Notamacropus eugenii: one gene and its partner. The protein of the gene in region 1 interacts with the protein of each later gene in a pairwise test. Links are inferred from orthologs where the notes say so. Each region holds a gene or a part of one and is shown on either strand. Other genes may lie near its edges.

Evidence for each region. The genes of interacting proteins can lie anywhere in the genome.
Region 2: the proteins of EPN2 (region 1) and WBP2 interact in binary tests that used the Homo sapiens proteins (3 or more experiments, as listed by UniProt). The link is inferred for Notamacropus eugenii from reciprocal best matches to the Homo sapiens genes EPN2 and WBP2.

Annotation. Positions count from the first base shown.
Region 1 is NC_092874.1:319,844,943-319,855,593, forward strand, and holds the start of EPN2 (epsin-2), read right to left. Parts: upstream 4,439-10,651; 5' UTR 4,194-4,438; intron 3,319-4,193; exon of another isoform or gene 2,889-3,318; intron 1-2,888. UniProt on the Homo sapiens protein: Plays a role in the formation of clathrin-coated invaginations and endocytosis.
Region 2 is NC_092873.1:342,034,541-342,044,289, forward strand, and holds the start of WBP2 (WW domain-binding protein 2), read right to left. Parts: upstream 4,611-9,749; 5' UTR 4,429-4,610; coding exon 4,373-4,428; intron 1,913-4,372; coding exon 1,804-1,912; intron 1-1,803. UniProt on the Homo sapiens protein: Acts as a transcriptional coactivator of estrogen and progesterone receptors (ESR1 and PGR) upon hormone activation. In presence of estrogen, binds to ESR1-responsive promoters. Synergizes with YAP1 to enhance PGR activity.

The sequences.
Region 1 (10,651 bases):
AAATACTAAAACTAAATCCCCTTTGTAAAACCAAATTTCATTCCCAAGTTTGTTGATCAATTTCAGAGCAGTAATTAGAAGCCTTTAATCATTATAGTTTTACTATGCCATACCCCTCACAGTAATGTTTGCTTTGGAAGAAGCAGAGACAGAACCTGCACTCAAAGGCAAATACAGCTTAATTACAGACAGTTTTAAGCAGACAGCATTCAGTATAATCAATAATCTCTCAGGATGAAGCTGATTTTGCCCTTATCTATTTATCATTAATGTAATCTCAAAAAGCAATACATAAATTCCATTCCTTGATTAGTACAGGCTGCTAGGTAGCCCAGTGGAGTGGTTTACTTATAATAAGTAAGACCTGAGTCCAAATCCTGCCTCAGAAAGTTACTTAGCTATGTGACCCTGAAGAAGTCAATCTTTCCTAGTCTCGGTTTCCTCATCTCTGAAATGGGAATAATAAGCACTCACCACATAGAGCTTTTACTTTTTTTGAGATTAAAATGAAGTGATATATGAAGTACTTTACAAGTCTTAAAATCGTATATAAATATAAAATAATAAATTATTATTAATGTACTAAGTCACCTACTCTCCAGAACATTTTAAGACAACATTCTTCAACATTACACTAATATTAATGGCTAACAACAATATAGATCTTACTATGTGTGACACTGTGCTAACTAAGCATTTTACAATTATTTGATTCTCACAGCAACACTGGGAGACAGGTATTATTATTACCTCTATTTTATAGATAAGTAGACTGAGACAAACTGAGGTTAAGTGATGTACTCAGGGTCACACAGCTAGTAAGCATCAGAGGCTAGATTTGAATTCAGGTCTTCTTGGCTCAAGGCCTGATGCTCTCTCCAATTCACCACCTAGCTGCCTCTCATAACAAACTGGTACAGTGAAAAGAGCTATGAAATATTTTATAGGTAGCAAAAAAATCCCCTATACCTGTTTGCTAAGTGGCATAGCAACCTGATCTCTAACTGGACTCTGAGTAGAAGCATCTGAGTTTAAGTCCTGCTTGCAACACGTTAGCTAGGTAAACTAGACAAGCCTTTAACCACTCTCAGCTTTATTTTACTGATCTGTAAAATGGGGATAATAGTAACTACTTTTATAAAGTTGTAAAAAATCAAATAAGGTAATAGATGTAAGGTGCTTCGCAAATCTTAAAAGTGCTATACAAAACCAGTAGTAATTATTTATTATTGTTTTGAATGAATCCCTAAGAAAAGTAAGGCAAAGTTGTTAGCATTTTAGCATTGGTACAGATCTGAAATGAAAGAGGCTAATACACTACTAGAATTTCTGGAACCAAATCCCAAGGTGGTTTTGGTGCACATCTGTGATTTCACTGGTATAGTGAGTTCCAAATGAGAAAACTCCTTTCACACATTCAGAAAAGCCACTGTCATGTAACTTGCTATCTATCTTAAGAAGGACTCTAGAGCACTGAGAGGTTAAGTGGCTTTCCCTGGGTGGCACAGGAACAGGTATGTGTCCAGAGTTAATGCTTGAACCTAGATTTTTTTTTTAAACTCTGCTGTCTGCCAGCCTGCTACTCTATTTCACAATGCTGTTATTTCCTCAAATTGATTTTTAAAATAAGCCTTTTCAATATTAACCTAACTGCTCCTCATCTGGAGTTTCATTTGCCTGTCAGCTGCCAGAAACCCATTTAATTCTGGCCATCCAATTCACAATTTATGATCTTAAACTTCTAAATTATTCCCACTGAAATGACTATGACTATTTCCACCGAAATCTAAGCTGTTTGGTACAGGGGTGAAAGGGCTTAGGTTTAGAGTCTAAGACCCTAATAGCTCTAAACATATGGAACCATGTAAATATGATAAAATACATGTCCTATACACGAAGCCTGGGCATTATTAGTTCCAGCACTGTTCCCATCTATGTGAAACTCATCTATAAAATGAAGGAAGTAGACTAGATAAATTCTCAGATGCCTTCCAGGTCTGAAATTCTAAGATTTTATTACTCTAAGCTGCCTTAGGACACTTGCAAGGCAGCCTTTAACACTTAATAGCCTAGTGACCAGGACAAGTCATTCGCTCTAAGCAATACTCAGAAGCTAAATTACTGAGTTTTCAATCTTCATTTTTCATGGGTGAAGACAATTCCCTATGCTAAATGAAATCAAAAGATCACAGAATTGGAGATGGAAGGGGCTAGTACACTATTTTAATCCCTTGCTTTAGAAAGGGACTGATGGCCAGAGGTTAAATAATTTGATATAACCCCAGTTCCCTCTCCGCTATGCCATGAAGCAAACACAGGTGCAGACCTTCCCATTCCCTTCACTCCCAAAACAATAAACTGGATACAGACTTTGTGTAGTTGAAATTTATACTTCCCCTTATGAAATGTTACAAATGCTTCACTTAACGCCAGAAAAGCAAAATGTTTAATATGATAAAGTGAAAAAAATTTAAAAATCATTTGAACTACTTATCATTCATTACATTAATGAAGTCATAACACTAAAATACTTGATTTGCCACAGAAGACACTATTATACATAAAGTAAATATATTTCTACAAAGGAGCCTTTTTCAGACTTAGTTAAATGAAGTCAGATCTTATAATTTTTTAAAGTTTTAAATATATTCTAATACTTCAAGTAGTTGGGCCTAACTAATCTCACTTCAAGTGGCTGGGCCTAACTAATCTCCTTACAAGACTCTTACAAAAAAGATACTTGGCTCTGAAGAGCGCATGCATTTCATAAATCTTTGCCAATGAATGAAAGTGACGTTCCATTTCTCAATGGCACAGAAAATTAAAACTTTAAGAGCGAAACAACTCTCCACAAAACTCTACTGAAAACTGTAGAATGACAAATTTACCCAGTAGATTCAATTCATGACTTCTGTGACAAAATCCCAAAAAGAACAGCCGCTGACTGCATTCCACGGTTCGCAGATTATAATCAGATTTTCTCTTGGATGAGTAAGAGATTATAAGAAATTTGAGAAGCAGTATTTAAACCAGGTCAACGTTGAGTCAAACACAGATGAAAACTTCATCAGCAATACAAACCGAAAAAACGATACAGACATTTTCCGCGTCATTTAGACCCCTTTTATCACTGGGATAGATAGAATTTCTGAAGAACTTCCGTTATCTGGTGGTAAATGGGGGCGCAGAGATTGTATAAACTCAATCCCCTCTCACCCCCACCGAGAGCCCAGCCCTCATTTAACCCAGAGTTTCCACCGTTGGCCTTTCAGAGGCAGGGGTGAACAGACTAAAGCCTTGGTTCTCACCTTCTTCTACGCACCTGGAGTAGAAGTGCGATACACCTGGGCGACCACCCCCTGAACACGCCCAGTAATGACAACACCTAACATTCACGTAATATTCTCAAGGCTTGCTTTCCATCTTAAATCTTTGATCCTGAGCACTAGGATAAAGCACCAACTCCAAAGACTCCCAGGTGCCCGTAAACTGTTAGCTTCCAACGCCTGGGTGAAGAAGAATGTGCTCGGGGAGAGCCGCGGAGACGCAAAAGCCCCGCGCAGAAACACTCTGGGCAGGGAACAACCCAAAAGGGGGTTCAACACCCCCAAAATCTGCCGGCACCTCCTGCACTCCGCAGCCTTCTCCAGCAGTCCGGGCTCACCTCAGAGCCTGGGCTGCCATGATCTGCCAAAAAGGGAAGGAAAACACGGGGCCCCGGGTCACTGGGGGAGGGAAGGGGACCCCCGAAAGAGGACTGAACCCAAGGCGGGCAGTCCCGGACCCCGACCGAGCTCGCGCTCACACCCGCACTGGGAACAAAAGGCCTCCCCAACCCCGGGGCTGCAGGGTGACTCCAAGCGCAGGGGAGGGGTCGGGGCTGGGGAAGCGGCCCCCGCGGCGGCCCGGCCCGGGAGCCCCAGGGACGCCAGGGGAGGCAGGGGGGGTGCAGGAGGGAGGGGCCCCCTCCCACGCCCCCACCGCCGCCCCGCGTCGGGGGAGGGGCTCGGGCCTGCTGGGCTGCCCCGTCCTGCCCACCCCTGGGCAGGGCGAGGGCGTTGGCGGCTCCTCGAGCCCCGGCCCCCGCAGCGGCCGAGCACCGGCTCCGGGGCCCGGCTCCCGCTCTGCTCCCGCAGAAGGAGACGGCCGAAAACCTCCCGCCGCCCCCTCCTCCATCGCCGCCCCAAGCTCACCTTCTTCTTCTCTTCTCCTCCTCCTCCGGTCCCCCCCCGCGCCGGAAGCCCAGGGGCCCTCAAGTACAGGGCGCAGGGGGAGGAGGGGACGAAGGGAGGGAGCCGGAGCCTAGTCGGGGGCCACCCGCCCAGCTCGCTCGCAGCGACGGCGTCTGCCGAGGTTTGACACCCACACACCATCCAACATGGCGGCCGGGAGGGGGCGCGCCTGCCTGCGTGCGCGCATCCGTGCGTTCCGCGCCCCCTCCCCCCGCCTCCCCCGCTCCCCACCCGCCCCCTCGAGCAAAGCGAGTCGAGCGGATTCGCGCGCCAGAGCGTGCGCGCGCCTGCGCGAGGACGCGCTCCCTTCCCCCCGCCCCCGGGCCCCCTAACCCCAACCGCCTGGGTCGGGCCCCCTCCCGCCTCCTCCTCGCGGGGGGTGGAGGGGCGCCGTGCGCGAGAACCCCGCCTCTCTCCCCTCCAGAGCTCCTGGGCCGGGACGGGGGGCGAAGATCAGGAGCTGCCCGACCCCGAGACACACTGACTTCCGAGGAAAAGAGGACCCCCGCAACCCCACGCCCCCAGCCTCCTCCCACGACTTGGCTTTTAGCCGCTGGGCCGCAGCTGCCGTCCTCCGCCCCGGGCAGGCACCACCCCTTTTCCCGAGGTCGTGCCTCCCTCCGCGGGGCTGACGGGGGCAGTGGGGGGCTCCTTTCTGGTTTGGTTCCCACGCACCACGCCCATTTCCCACACCGGGAAACTGAGGCGCGGCCCCCCACAGATCCGAAGGCAAGTCCCAGGCACCGCCGGGCGTCCACCCCCTCCCTCTAACCTGCGTGTCCCCTAGGATCACCCGTGGTCTTTTCCCCGTTGCATTTCATCCGCAGCCCCGAACTGACCAAGCTTTCCTTATCCGAGGAAGGAGCCTCTCCCTCGGATTTGGCCCTCGGGACCGGGCTCCAGGCACTTAGCTTCCTCCGGCCTCAGTTTCCTCGTCTTTCAAAGGAGCTGGGCTTAGCTTCGGTCTCAGGCCCCGCGGGGCTCTAAATCTACGACCCGCAGAGTCTACTATTCATCGAGAATTCATTAATTAAGCACTTACTGAGTGCTGAGCATTGGGGACACCGTACCCCCTAAAAGCTGTCTTTACACGCCTTTGAGTAGCTTTGATTTCGCTAGTGACTCGGTCGTATTAAGGTGTGGGGCGCTGAGGCGTTGATTAGGCTTGTGCTCAGATAAATAGGAATACAAAGTAGCATGTGTCAAATGATTCCAGGCGCTCGATACAAAATATCCAGATGAGTTCGGATGAGGAAGGAGAGGTCTGACGGCTGGGGCAATTGGGGAAATCTAGCAGGAGCTGTCCATCTTATAGTGGTGGAAAAAGGGAAAAAGCAACCTCTCTCCCCTCTTTTCTGCCCACAGTGCCTAAGAGCCATTTTTGTTCCCCACCCCAAATCCAAGGGTTAGTATTTCATAGTGATGATGATAATCTGACTGACCTTATAGGTGCCTTACATATTCTCACTTGACTCTAACAACAATCTTGTAGGGTGCTATTATTATCTCTATTATGCAAATGAGGAAACTAAGTGGTTAAGTGATTTACCCTAGGTGTTGCCTAGGTAAGTATCTAGATCAAGTTAGGAACCTGGCTCTTCCCGATTCTAGTGGTCTTCTACATCACACTGCCTCTCAAACATGAAAAGCACCCCTTCTCTGGCAGATCACATATGCCTGTCTGTCAGCCGCCACCTTGACAGTCTCTTCGACAGCAAGATTTTGGTCTTATCTATATTTCCTGTGAGGCAACTAGGTGACAGAGTGGATAAAGTACCCAGGCAGGAGTCAGGAAGATTCATTTTCCTTCATGCAAATCTGACCTCAGACACTAGCTGTGTGACCCTGAGCAAGTCACTTAACCCTATTTGTGTTAGTTCCTCATCTGTAAAATGATCTGGAAAAGAAAATGGTAAAGTACTCTTTGCCAAGAAAACTCCAAATGGGGTCACAAAGAATCAGACATGACAACCAGTATTTTCTACTCCCTAGTAATGCTGTCAATTAACATCCTAGAGAAGCTACACTATCCAAGGCAATGAGTTAGACTGAGGAGGATACAGAGAAACCTGCTCTCTACAAATTTGCAATTTAAATATGCAGATAATAAGCAGGAAATTCTAGGAACCCAAAGAGGTAATAAAGATTGTAGAAACTAAGAGAACAGAATGATACTGTTGGGTCAAGGTGGTTAGAATAAGTTTTAATTAAATGCATTAATTCTTTCAACAAGTGTAGATCTAACCGCCTTCTATGTACAAGGCACTATGTTCAGCTGGATAGAATACAAAGAGAATTTAAGTCCCTGCTTTTAAGGAGTTTACAGTGAAGTGGGGTACAGGGAGAAAAGCTATATGAAAATAATTGTAATTCAAGGCAGGATATGTTAAACACTGTCAGAAAGTTACAGAATGTTATGAGATTTCAAAAGAAAGAAAAAAAAATCACTTCTGGCAGTGGGTCAAAGAAGTCCTCCTGGAGAGAACAGGCCTTGGTGCATGGGTAGGATTACAAAAGTAGAGAAGAAGAGGGGTGGGGCATTCCAGACTGATGTCAAAATAATAATTCACATTTATATAGAATGTTAAGGTTTTCAAAGTATTTTACATACATTATCTCGTATGATTCTTACAGATGTCCTTACTTTAAAGTTGAGGAGAAAGGTTTAAGGGAATTAGAGTGAAGGTAGGGCTGGAAAGGTAGGTTGGAGATCATGTTAAGGGAAAGGCTTTCAATTCCAAGATTTTATGAAGTCTGATGAATAAAGAACCACTGAAAATTTTTAAACTAGAAGTAAGATTGCATAATGAGGGCTCTGCATTTCTTAATGTTTCCATAAGCCTCTGGGCTGGGAAATGCCATTTTGAGGGAAATTAACTATGAGCTGGTAGATAAGTGCCTTTGAATGTTTTAAAAACATTTAATAATACCATCAGTCTGAAAGTATGTGTACTATTATTAAATATCCGAATGTAATCCATCTAAAATGTGGAGGTCCTTATCCCAACTCACATCCACACTTTTGAGTTGGTTGTCTAGACGGCTGGCCACATCTTCCCCCTTCAGGGCTGTAGGAATAACCATAAAAGATATGGGGTATCCTAATACTATCAGTTTGAGCCTGCATTCTAGTGTGTTATTTCTAACATCAATTACCAGTGCCAATTAATATCTTTTCAACATCAATTCCATTGATTATTGCTGCATATCATTTGACATTATTATCAATTAGCTTTAATATAGAGACATTAGCTAAGAAGATGTAGTAAGAGTAGAAGTTACAAATACCTCTTCCTGAACCAAGGCCATGTTTTCCACTATATCACCTCAGTCTCACTACAAAGTACTCATCCCACCAAGTTTACTTCTAAATGTTTAAAGTTACTCCTTTACTTGCCAAGTAACCCTTGAGCGTGACATCAATCCACTTTCTGGGCTGGGGCTTTCAAGTCATTCCTCAGGGTTGTACGCTTCACTAGGGTTAGCTTGCCAGCAAAATTTGTAATGTTCCTGGACCTCTTTCTCGAGGCTCATTCTTCTGATCTTTCAAAACTAACAACACCAAAGGTATCCATGATAGTATCATCTAAGCTGAAAAAAATAGATCTAATAGAGATAGAATTTACAAAAGGACCAGATGCTGATAGGCCACAGCCTGGATGAGAGAGGGTCCACAGCTCTTGCCACCACAGCAGAAAGAGGTCCATTTAGTTGCTCAGTGCCTTTTTGTATGCACACTCAGTTCCAGCTCAGAAGTTGTTAGGGGTTCATCTGACACCAGTACCATGTTAGTTGTTTCAGTGTCAGGATGCAAGAAGGCATTTGTAAGTCACTGAATGGTTAACAAAAGGAGGTTTACTTAGACCTGATATAACAAGGATATGTAACTTGTAGCGCTCAGCTACTACAGATGTGGCCCCTTTCCCAATGCCCATATAATCTACAGGGAAGTTGTGGTTAGTCTCTTGGTCTTCAGAACTATACCAAATCAAAAAGGTCCCCTCATTGGGTGGTTTGGGGAGAGAAAAGGAGCTTTTATTCCCCTAGGTGACCAGGAAGCCAAGCCAACACAGCCAGAGGCCATTGGGAAGCTGGATCAATGGAAGCAGAGCTTGAGCTTTGCCCCACTCCTGAGACAATCAAGTCTTAGCTTTGTCCCTTTTTCCTAGTCAAGTTAGGCGAAAGGATATGGGGAACCTTGCTAGACAATGGACCTGTCACAACAGCCCATCAAAAGGCCACATGATAAGTGGACAAGAAACATCCTTAGAAGACCTTCGAGTACTTCATATGAAAGATTACATCATGCAGAGCATACTGTGCAAGTTCATAAGGACTAAGGTCTTCCTGACCAGCCCCTTCTTACACTAACTTCCAAGGAACAGTTTGCACATTACAGGAATGTTGTCAAATACATAAAGAACTAGAAATCTAAAGCAACAAATGAAGTATTTAATTTACTTCCCTCTTTTTTGTGTCACTCCTCCTTATCACGTGTGTAACAATAAAGACTGATGTTGGGGCACTTACATCTTTGCTCTCTAATAAGGTGCCTTATCCATTCTAGACACCGTCATGCTTAAACCAGGTTTGGTCTTGGGGCGATCCCAGGCCATTAGAGATAAGAATCAAACTCTTTCTTGAACTCTCAAGATCTTTACATAGCCACTCTGCAACCTGGGGCAGGGTGGGAAGGAATCACTTAAAATAGGTCTATTTAGTCATTCATCCAGATGAACTGTTGCAGAGTGAAGTAAGTAAAGCCAAGAAATTATATACAGTGACTACAACAATGTAAAAAGAAAGAGCAAAGACATAACCATTAAAATCAAAAGTAAATGTTGGAAAATTATAAAGAAAAGCATCAATCAAAATAGATATGACAAGACATTCCCACTCCACTCCTTTCTAGAAGGGACAGGTTCACAAGTGTGTACACTGCATATATTTTCAGACTTTTTCAATGATCAATAAACCAGCTATGCTGGCTTTATTTCTCTTCTTTTTTTCTTTGTCTTTAAAAAAGGCTATTTGTTCACAGAGTTGAGTCTTGAAGAAAATGAAAAGGTTAGGTTGGTAGGAAGAGTAAAAAATGTGGGGGGCATAACATACATGAGCAAATGTGTAAAAGATGCACAAGCTCTTGCCTGACCACTTTGTTGAAGTGAGGAGGGTGTTTTTCCCCTTGTCCAATTTTAACCGAGAAAAACCAAAATAACGTTTGTCCAACCAAATATCTGTGGCTCAGACAGTTACTGACATTTCCAGACCAAGTGATAGTTTTTCCCAATCCATCTGAACCAATACAAGGCAGGAAAGGAAGCCATGAAGACCCAGATATGAATGCTTCTTATGAATAACTTCTTATGGCTACCATTCTCTAAATTCTGTTTCTGGTTGGATTGGAAGGGTAAGAGTGATTGTAAAAAATTGAGAGAAGTGCCCCAACCATCACTTCTGTGAACCTCTTGACTCTTTCAACTGGAGGTAACATGTCATAGGAGAAAAAAGCTGAGGAATGAAGAGACTAGGATTATTCCCCTTCTTAATAAAACAAGCTGGGTGACCTTGGGAAGGTCACTTTCCCTCCTTTGGTCTTGATTTCTTCCTCTATGAATTGAGGGGCTAATTTAGATTCCCTTTGGGGTTCCTTCCAGTATGTGATTCCTAAAAAGTCTCTTGAATCTTAAATGTCCTGGTCTTGGTAATACTAGAATCAGTCTTCCTGGTATTATGAGATCTGACTCAAATTGCTTCAAGGCAGATTTGGGTACCATAGGTCATTGCAACTGTTTGGCAGATCAGACTCAGATTTTAGGTCATAGATTATCAAATCTTTATCTATCTGATATAAGATTTTTCTCTTGCAGCACATGGTAGCATTGGGTAAAGTCAATTTCAATTTACCAATTTATTAAATGGGGTATCACTTGTCATAAATGTGGTAAGATCATATAAATGAGATGATATTAGAAAAGCTTTCCATACTGCTTGATAAAGGAATTTCTAGACCAGATCAAATGAAGGACTTTCTTTAGAGCAGAGATTCTTGAACTTTTGAGTTCATGTCAGAACATGTCATGTCAGTTCTTTGTCAGATTGGTGAAGTCTATGAACTCCTCAGAATACCATCCTTTAAATAATTGCAGTAGATGCTAAATTTCAGTTAGAGTTTAATGAAAATAGATATTTTTCCCATTCAATTTAATAGAATCCCTTAAATCTATCCATAGACCCCTTAGACAACCTTGAAAAATCAGGTTAAGAACCACTGATTTAGGAAGGTCATCAATTCCATTTTCAAATTGCTCCTGGTAACTGTTTTATAATACCCTCGGGCTTTTGTAGTTATAGTGTTAATTAAATTGATTAATAAATTAATAATTATAATTGGTATTTACAATAGTACTTTCTGAAGT
Region 2 (9,749 bases), on another chromosome or scaffold:
TAATTTTCCAAAAATTTTTTTCTGTTGTTCAGCAAATGTACTCACAGTTTCAAAGGGGCCTCCATCACACTACAGTAACCATGGTGGTGCTGTGTGTGTGTGTGTTTGTGTGTGTGTGTGTGAAAAGGAATTCTTATCTGGAGGCTATATTCACAAGAATTTCTTAAATACTTGCTATGAAGCAGAAACTATACTAAGCAACAAAGACCCAAAAGTAGATATGCAACAGTCTCTTTTTTCAAGGAGCTTATATTCTGTGGCACAACACCCAAATATACATAAAACATACACACACACACACACGTATGCAAAATACATGTGAAGAAATCATGTGAATATGTGCAAGGCCATAGCCCTCATGTAAGAGGTGACACTTGCATTGAACTTGGAAGGAATCAAGGGAGTCCTTTAGGGACGGCCTCTTCACAGGTCCTGGGACAGAAAATGGAAGGTCATGTGTGTGGTATGGGAAGAACACAAGACAGTTTGGTCCAAACCAAGCATGTGAAGGAAAATAACATATAACAAGCATAGTTAGGCTGGATTCAGACTGCGTCAAAGAGGAAGTTCTCATTTGATCACCAAGGCAAAAGAGTTCTTGTGCAAGGAGTGACACAGTCAGACCTATACTTCAGGCAGAGCACTTTTGGTTCATGGATTAAAGTGAGAGACCTTAGGCAAGAAGGCCAATTATATATGAAACAATAAAGCAACACATCCTGAGAAGGGGCCTGTGGAAAATACCCTTACTAGACTAGACAAGACAATATGAATCAGACACCTTTGAAAAGTGTAAATACAAATTTCTAGGTTCTGATAATGCAGTGGCACCTAAGTGTTCGGGGAACAGCATAGGTGAGTATGGAGAAAGGCTTCTTGGAAATGTTGAAGTAAACCTGCCATGTAATAGGCAAGGGGTGGAACACAGGCTGCTTTGGGGCCAAAGTGAACTTCCTAATCTCCTGAAAGTGAGGCAAACCACACCAACCTCTCAACTGTCTCCCTTCCATACTGTCCTGGGGCAACCAAGCAAATCACTGGGGAGCTCCAGAGTTTTAGAAATGTGTCTAAAATCCCTCTGTCTTGATTTGCCTATTTGTTTGGATGAAATTCAAGATGGTGACTTTGACCTTTCAATAGAAGGCCAATTTCATAATATGACATCTTCTACTCTGCTAAGCCATGACAATTAAGAATAACACAATGTCCCTTCCAAAAGACAACACAAATATGCCCCTTAGGCAACTAAAGGAGTCTTTTCCGGGGAAAACCTTTTGTTTCCTCTGGGGCTAATGAAACCCCAGTTTATTAAGCCTTTGGGAAGTAAGCAAGCTCTGTTTTTGCAACCTTGTATTTGTCACTCTACAAGGCACTGCTGGCTTATTTTCCTGGCTTGGGCATCTGTTGCTGTGTCACCATATTCATCATTTTGTACATTTTGCAGAGAAGTCTCAGGCTAACAGTTGCTCTGTTGAAATCAAAATGAAAACTACTCAGCCTACTCTAGGTCTATGTGAATTCAGCAGCTCTAGTCATCTGTATATAAATGGAAGATGGCAGTGTTGGAGTTTGTAGAAGCTTACTCAGCAGCTGTCAGTTCAGCTACCTGGAGACACAGCAGACTCCCAGAGTCCTGGGAGGAGCCTGTGACAAAGAAACACCATGGGAGATGGGAAAATAAAAAGTCATTAATGTTTCAGGGGCCATCCAACTCACTGACCTGTGTCAGTGTTGCTAGAAACCTGAGTCACTCTTCTAAAATGTCAGGTCTCAAAATGACAGGTAAGGACTCCAAAGACTTACTCTGTAAGGAGTCAAATAGAGGCTGCCTTTCTTGGTTCCTTTGAAGGCATCTGTCATGTGATCCATGTCACTGAAGGAGAGCTCCACATGATCGTAGGTCATTAGAATACTACAACGGGAAGGGAGCAAGAAGATTATAAGGGAGATTAGAGATATGACTTGAAGTGTGAATAAAAAGCTGTGTTATTTCCTTATATTCCTCTTCTCCTCCTGCATCCATCCCCCCCACCCCCACCCCTCAACAAGCAGTAGACTATAGAATCTCAAACATACCACTACCAGCTCCATCTGGAATAAGTGCCAGATAAGGAAGGAGAATTCCAATTTGCAAGGTTAAAGCTGATGCCACCACAGACAACGCTTTCACCCTAATCTTCAAAGGCAAGCTAGATGGCAACTCATTGTGTTTATTATAACATTCATGTTATGAATAAGGATTAGACTAGACCAAGGGTGGGGAACCTGTGATCTTCTAGGTCCTTGAGTGCAGCCTTTGACTGAGTCCAAGTTTTACAGAACAAATCCTCTTATTAAGGGGATTTGTTCTTTGAAGTTTGGATTCAGTCAAAGAACGACATTTGAGGGCCTAGAGGGTCGCATGTGACTGAATGTTCCCCACACCTGGACTAGAAGATCCATGAAATTTTTTCCAACTCTATAATTCTATGAAATGTCTAGTTGCAGGCATGATCACTTAAAGAAAATGTAAAACAGATAAATTATGAAATGATGATTAAAGGACTCACTAAAGTTTCCTTCAAATAATAAAAGAACAAAGGAGGTTCAAATCTTAACTTCAATTTATACACTAATTTCCTGGAATGAAACTAAAGAATTTATATAAAGCAAGGCATATCCTTATTTAACAGTCACAGAGCATTTAGAAGTGTGGGAGGCAAAGCGAGAGGTAGTCCTTGTCCCAGAAACTCCCACTGAGAAAGAATAAAAAACAGTCACAAGAGATGATACTGAAAGACAGCAACAGTGTTTCCTTGTTCCAAGAGCCTGTTTGGACACAAAAAGGTCACAAACCAATGAGCATCATGGGATATCTCTACTTACAAGATAAAAATCAAATGAACTATTCCTGGTGGTTGAGTCTGTCCTCCTACTCCAACCAATTAATCACTAAACATGCATTTATTAAGCTCTTACTTATCTACCAGGCACAGTACTAGATGCAGGGAATATACAGACAAAAAAACAAACCACAGCCCTCAAGCTATTTATATGTGCATGTCCATTTACAAAATAAGTGAGATACTTTGAACACTAACAGATGGGGGAAGGGACAGTCAGGAAAGGTTTGCACAGAAGATTAAATTTTTGTTGAATTTTGATTGAAACAAGTGATTCTAAGATAAAGTCCAGACTTGGGGGGCAAAATGTGCAACAGCATGGGGACACTAGTGTCCTGTACGGGAAATACCAAGAAGACCCAGGCTGAAAACCTTTCCACTTTTAAGAGGATGGGTGGAACAGAACTTGAAACAAATGCAGGTGGAGAAAATAGGTTAATTATCAGAAACAGGATAAGCCTGTTGGGTCCTATGCAGGGAAGGTGAAGAGGTCATCTTTTTGAAGTCTAAGCTCACACTTGAGCCAATCTGCTTCAACATGAGTTCTGGTCCCTAAGTACTTCTTTCCTCTTAACTGGCACAGTGGTCCTTTTGGCGTTGTAGGGCTATCCTGAAGCAGGTAGCGAGACATGCTCGAGGGGTGGCATCCTTTCCTATGTTGAAGTAGTCAAAGGAGAGGGGCAGAAATAGTGAACACAGAACCAGGGTTTTTTTTGGGGGGGGGGGGTTTGACTGCAATACCATTTATGGCATGACCACCCTAGCCTCCTCCAAATAGGAGGAAGTACTCGGTAAATTTAATGAGCTTCCATCCACATAGTGAAAGCAGGAGTCAAGTCTTCGCTGCCTCTCCCCAGCAGTGCAAGAAGTTGCGAGTCTTAGAGCAGAAAGGGGTGTGGGGGTGGGTGGGTGTTTTAGTAGGACGGCGGGTAGCAATCAGGAGTCTCCTTCCCGTCTAGTTCCCTTTTCTGGCCTTCATCATCTTCCACCTGAAGAATGAGGGAGGGGCCGGACGACCCCCGGCGCCGCTCTCAGCTCCGACGTCATTCTCCCTCGGCTCCGGGGGTGGGGAGGAGGAGGCTGGCCCAGCCGGGCCCGCAGTGGGGGAGGGGGGGTAAAGGGGATTCCAGCACCAGATGGGGCGCGGAGAGGCCCAACATTCCAGCCAAATCTCCTACGCGGCTACCCTCCCCCAAGCTGACGCTGTCCTTGGTCCCCAATCCCTCCCCAACGACGCCCACCCAGGAAGCTCAGTTCCCTCCCCTCCCCCAGCTGCTGCAGGCCTAGGCCCCTCTGGCAGTTCCAGGAGGGGTAGGTGACGGGGGAGGGCTAAGATTTCCCGCCCCCTCCTTCCTTCCTTCTGCCCAGGCCGTTACACTACCCTGACCCCACCTCCCTCGACGACTCGCCCCCACCCCAACGTCCTCCCCGCCCCCCTCCCTGTCCGCCCTTTAAGAAGCCTCGACGAATCCCTCCGCGGCGCCGCTCACTTCTCCGTGTTGTTGACAATCACTCCGCTCTCCGAGTGGTTCCTGTTGAGCGCCATGGCCGGGCCGCACAGACGCCCCGCTCCAGACCTCGGAGAACAGTGCGCCTGCGCTCCGTGCCCAGCCCCGCGTGTCGTCGTTCGGAATTCAGTTCCAGCCAATCACAGGGTGCGTATGCGGGCAGGAGAGGAACAACCACCTGACCCTCGAGTCACGTGAACGCGTTCGCCTGTCGTTTTCCTCCCCCTCCCCCCTTCTTCCGCCTTCTATCGCTTTCCTCTACCTCTTACACTTGCTCTTTTGTAGCAGTTTCATCACAAACAAGTCCGAAGACTACAGTTCCCGGCATGCAATGTTCTGGCCTCGCCCTAGACTGTAGGAGCTGTTGAACTTCCGGAGCACCCAAATGGCGAAGGACTTAGAGTTCCTAGTTTGGAAAGATGTATAGAAGAACTGGGAATATTGATTTCCAATCTGGGTCTTCCCCGTGCCCAAAAATCTCAAGTAATTCCTTGTTTCTTCTAGAGCTAGGTTTTTTTTAAATTGCTTTTTACCTCACCAGAATTTCAACCTTTGGTTCTCCCCCTCCCTCCCCTCAGGCACCCGGTGAACAACATTTTTAAAGAAAAAACAATGAGACGCCCTCCCCCCCAAATAAAACAAGCAAAATCAATACATGGAACAAGTCAGAAAGTGTATGTCACGCACCACCCTGGGGACTTTGCGTCCTGCGCAGGATTTGGGGGCGGGGGGGTAGGTCGAGTTCTCTAAGTTTTTGTGTGTGGACTCCTCGGAAGAGTGACCTTCAGTGCATACCATAGGTAAGATTACAAAGGAGATGATCAAAATCATCTTCAGACCAAGTTTACCGGTCCCAGGTTAGGAATCCTCGTCCTGGCGTCCAGGCCTAGCCCAGCCAGCGTTGAGGTTCAATCTGGGCCCATCGATCGCTGGCTGGTGAAGCGTCCCCGGACCTCCTCCTGCTTAGGCCTGGGCCGAGGCCTCCCAGCCTGCCTCTCGGGGCCTCAGCTTCCTCTTCGGCCGCGTGAGGGGCTCGGCGACCCCCGAGGTGGCTTCCAGCGTGGCATCTCCCCGCAGGAGCCCTCTGCCTGCCTAGGTCCCTGCATGGGAGGCTTTTTCCGAGGATCTGGAGGTGCCACAGGCCTGCCCCCGAATCACCTTAAATATTACTCTATTTGACATTATTTCCTATGTCTTCCTATAAGCTTTGCCAAAAGTGGATGTTTTGGGAGAAGGTGAGTGGCTTCATTTGATGTTCTATTTGCTATGTATTTTAAAATCTTTTCTGCGTGACGCTGAATGCACACCCTCAGTAAGTCCTTCCTTCCCATCACTTTTCAGTTGCCAAAGAAAATTCAGAGGATTTTGAATAGTTTTCCAGGAGCTCACCCACTTCCCTTTGTCCCAGCTAATGTATGAGACCTGGTGGTAGGAGCTTAACAAATGTTAATTCACTGAGTGATGAAGAAGATGCTGTTAAATGGCTGTGCTGGAAAGGCCTTGTAACCGTTTAAGCATCCTTTCCATACCATTTCCTCTCTGTAAGCCCTACCTGATGTCTTCCAAAACTGTCCATGGGTCAGGAAGTTACACAAACTCACACACACACGTCTAATGTATGTATGTCATCTGTGGAATTGTGAGAAGCACATGCCCATCACCTGCTGACAGACTATGTCACGTTGAATGGATAAATAGACTGCAGTGTAGCTGACTGAAAATTTTTTTTCTTTCTTTTTTTTTTAATATTTAACAATCACTGCCACACAATTGAGATTTTATCCCCCCCCACTACCCCCCTCCCTCCCCACGACTGCATACAATTCTGTATAGGTTCTACATATACTTTCCTATTGAGTACATTTTCACTATAGTCATGCTGTGTAGTCGGACTAAAATAAATGGAAGAAATCATATAACAAATCAAAACATGATTCACAAAAACATACACACACACAAACATGATCTGCTACATTCTGCGAATAACTTCCATATTTCTTTCTCTGAGTGTGGAAGGCATTTTGCCTTAGAAAACCACCATTGGGATTTTTTTTTTTTAAGAAGTTCTTGCGTTATTACTAAATTCCAAGTCTACCAGAAAAAACTCTCGCACACTGTGGTCGTTGCTGTGCACAAAGTTCTCCTGGTTCTGCTTGAAAATTCTTATAGCAGATCCTTGAGGGCAGGAATTGTCTGGTTTGACTGAACTTGTATCTTCAGCATTTGACACAATGCCTTACACACAGTGAATGCTTAATAAATCCTTTTTTATTCATGGATTTTTTTCATTCACTTTCTGGTTAGCCAGAAAGACATGAGAGATGGCTAGAATTACATACCAGAAACTCATTATCTTTTAAAACTAACTGGGAACAAATGTCCCAGCTACCAAATCCTAAAATATCTTTGAGAGGTCCACAGATAAAATATAGTGGAACCAGAGCATCATTACAGACTGATTGGTTGTCCACAACCACTTAGATATAACCTTTATACATAAACATCGAAGGACAGTGTTTTAAATAAATGTCATTTCTTTTGGGTCAGCCCTAGCTTAGTTCAGTCCACTGAGTAATTCAAGCTTGCGACTGAAATGCCATATTGTGTTCCTTATAATGCAACAAAAACAGATTTAAATACAATAAAATTAAAAGTATACAATTTGCTAAAATTAGATGCTGCTCTCCTCTGCATCTTCATTCTCCAGGATAATGCTGGATGAAAGCAATGGGAATTCCACGAAACCTCAGGAATATTAAGTATATGTAGGCTAGACTTCTTATGCCTCTAGCCGCCCAGACCAGCCAGATCTTGATCTTGCCTCTTTAAAGAGAAAACACACCAACCCTATGTAAAAATATTATTCCTATTACATTCCACCCCCTGGTAGCAAAGTCCTAAAAATCTTCACAGGAACTCTCTTCTGATGGGGTACAGACTCTGGGAACCTCCTTGAACTCTTCTTGAATCTTCCCACTTAATGGGGCTTTTCATACCCAAATCTGTTACCCTTAACCTAGCCTGGCCCTCCATTGTCTGTTGCCTCCAGATTGCTACTGGCTGCTTCCCATACTTGATCAGTTACCGCCCCCCTTCCATCAAGACCCTCCCTACCCCTCCTTTCATCACCCCTGACTACTAGACCACCCCCAGAATTCCTCCCACAGTCTTTCTGTATATAAGATCCCTCTTACCTCCATAAAGGTGCTCAGATTCAATCTGGCTCTGATCCAGTCTTGCTGAGGTTCTATCTGGCCTACCATCAATACAAGCCTTACAAATGGTGAGGCTTAAGAGTCAACCCAATATGGTGAATCTTTAATAAACTTTGTTTTACTTTGGTTGAAAGAAGGCTTGGGCTGAATTCATTCAGGCAGGGCCCGGGTTGTCAGTATTTTGGGGTCCCAAGCACTCTAAACCTCAACAAATGTTTCCCTGACCTCAACACTACCACTTATATGTCTGCAAGGTTGTTACTAAAAAAAGCTGGCTTTGGGGATATGAAAAGCCTAGCAAAGCTTAGGAAACACTTGTTGACCTGAAAACTTGGTTAAAGAAAAGGCAACAGGCTAAATGCATACATTTTATGATTTAATTAATTAATTGATCAATTCCCTATTAAAGAAAATGGTAACATAATGCATTATGGAGCCAGAAATGTTCTGGCTACTGATACAAAGAATTGGGCAGGCTTAAATATGTTTTAGGACAAAGAAGTGTTCTGTGTCCTTCAGATTTATGATCTCCATAAGTGACTAACTAGACATTAGAAAGGAATTTCTTAATTGCATAGGTTGTAAATACAATAAGATAACAGAGTTTGACAAAGTTTCACATAGAAATTACCACCCAAGATGTCTGTGTTTTCTTTACCATTAACATGCCATAACATAGGATATGTCTACAAATGTTAAGATATGGAAAACGTCCCATTATTCAAGATAGTGTCTTAGGTTAAAGGTCTCTTAAGGAATGTTAAGTCAGCCCTGGCAGGCTTTTGTTGACATAGGAAGAGGCATTCTCTGAGTTTGCTTCAGAGAGAACAAAGAGATTATTCCAAAATTTTATATTAAACATTATCAGTATCTATCAGGGAGTAACTAAGCACCCTGACATACACAGGTGGGCCTGCTATCACAGGTTCTTTAATCTGCATTTCTAAAAGGAAAGGCAACTTTTGAGAGGTTAACAATCTCCTTTAATCAAGCACATATATCATTCCCCTAGTTCAGGGAAAAAAATCAGCACCCTGAACTTCAGAGAAAATACAGAGAAATCAAAGATCAACAGACATGGTTTCCAGCTATCTGACCATAACCAATACATATATCACAAATCAACAGATATATCCTACTGTCTGACCATAGTTACCAGAGAGGGAAGCACCAACATCTGGGTTTTCAAAGCCAGGGGGCTCCTTAGTGGCGGCCCAGAGTCTCCTCTGACCAAACAAACACTTCCAGTCAGTAAACCCCAAAGTAAAATCTAATCCTCAAAGTATTTATACCCTTTTTAGAGCCAGAGGGCATCACAACCCTTGAGAACTAGTGCCTCATTAATAAAAGGTGTGGGCCTTCCTACAAAGCTTCCCAAGCCCATAAGGACTGGGGAAGATCTTCTTTAATCACACTATTCAGTCAGAGGCACTTTATACTAGAACAAAAACAGCAAAAGATCCCACTTTGCTTGCCATCACACTCCACCCTTCCAGGATTCTTGGCCTTACAATCTAAATGACTATGGATCCTGGAACAAATAGAGGCATTATACTTCTTGATTATACTAAAACAAAAACAGCAAAAGATCCTACTTTGCTTGCCTTTACACAGGGGCAGGCTTTGAACTCAGGTCTTCCTTGTTGTAAATTGGTTCAAACATTTGGAAAAACAATTTGGAGCTATTATAGAAAAGTTACTACACTGTATATACCCTTTGACCCAACTATCTCACTCTTGGGCATATGCCCCAAGGAACTCAAAGGCAGAGGGAAAGTTCTCAAATACACTATGTCTCAGAGATCTCAGTGCAGCTTTAAATTTTAATAACTATTTATAGATATTGTAAATAGCTATAATATGTTATAAATAAATATATAAACAGTTATAAATGCATAATATTCAACTAATATGTAAAAATAACATAGTAAGTAGCTATTTGTAGCTACTAAAACTTAAAACTGCGCTAAGACTTTTGGGGGATCCTGTATGATGTTGTTCAGTTGTTTCAGTCATATCTGACCCTTCATGACTCCATTTGGGCTTTTCTTGGCAAAAATACTGAAGTAGTTTGCCTTTTCCTTCTCCAGCTCATTTTATAGATGGGGAAACTGAGGTAAATAGGGTGAAGTGACTTGCCCAGC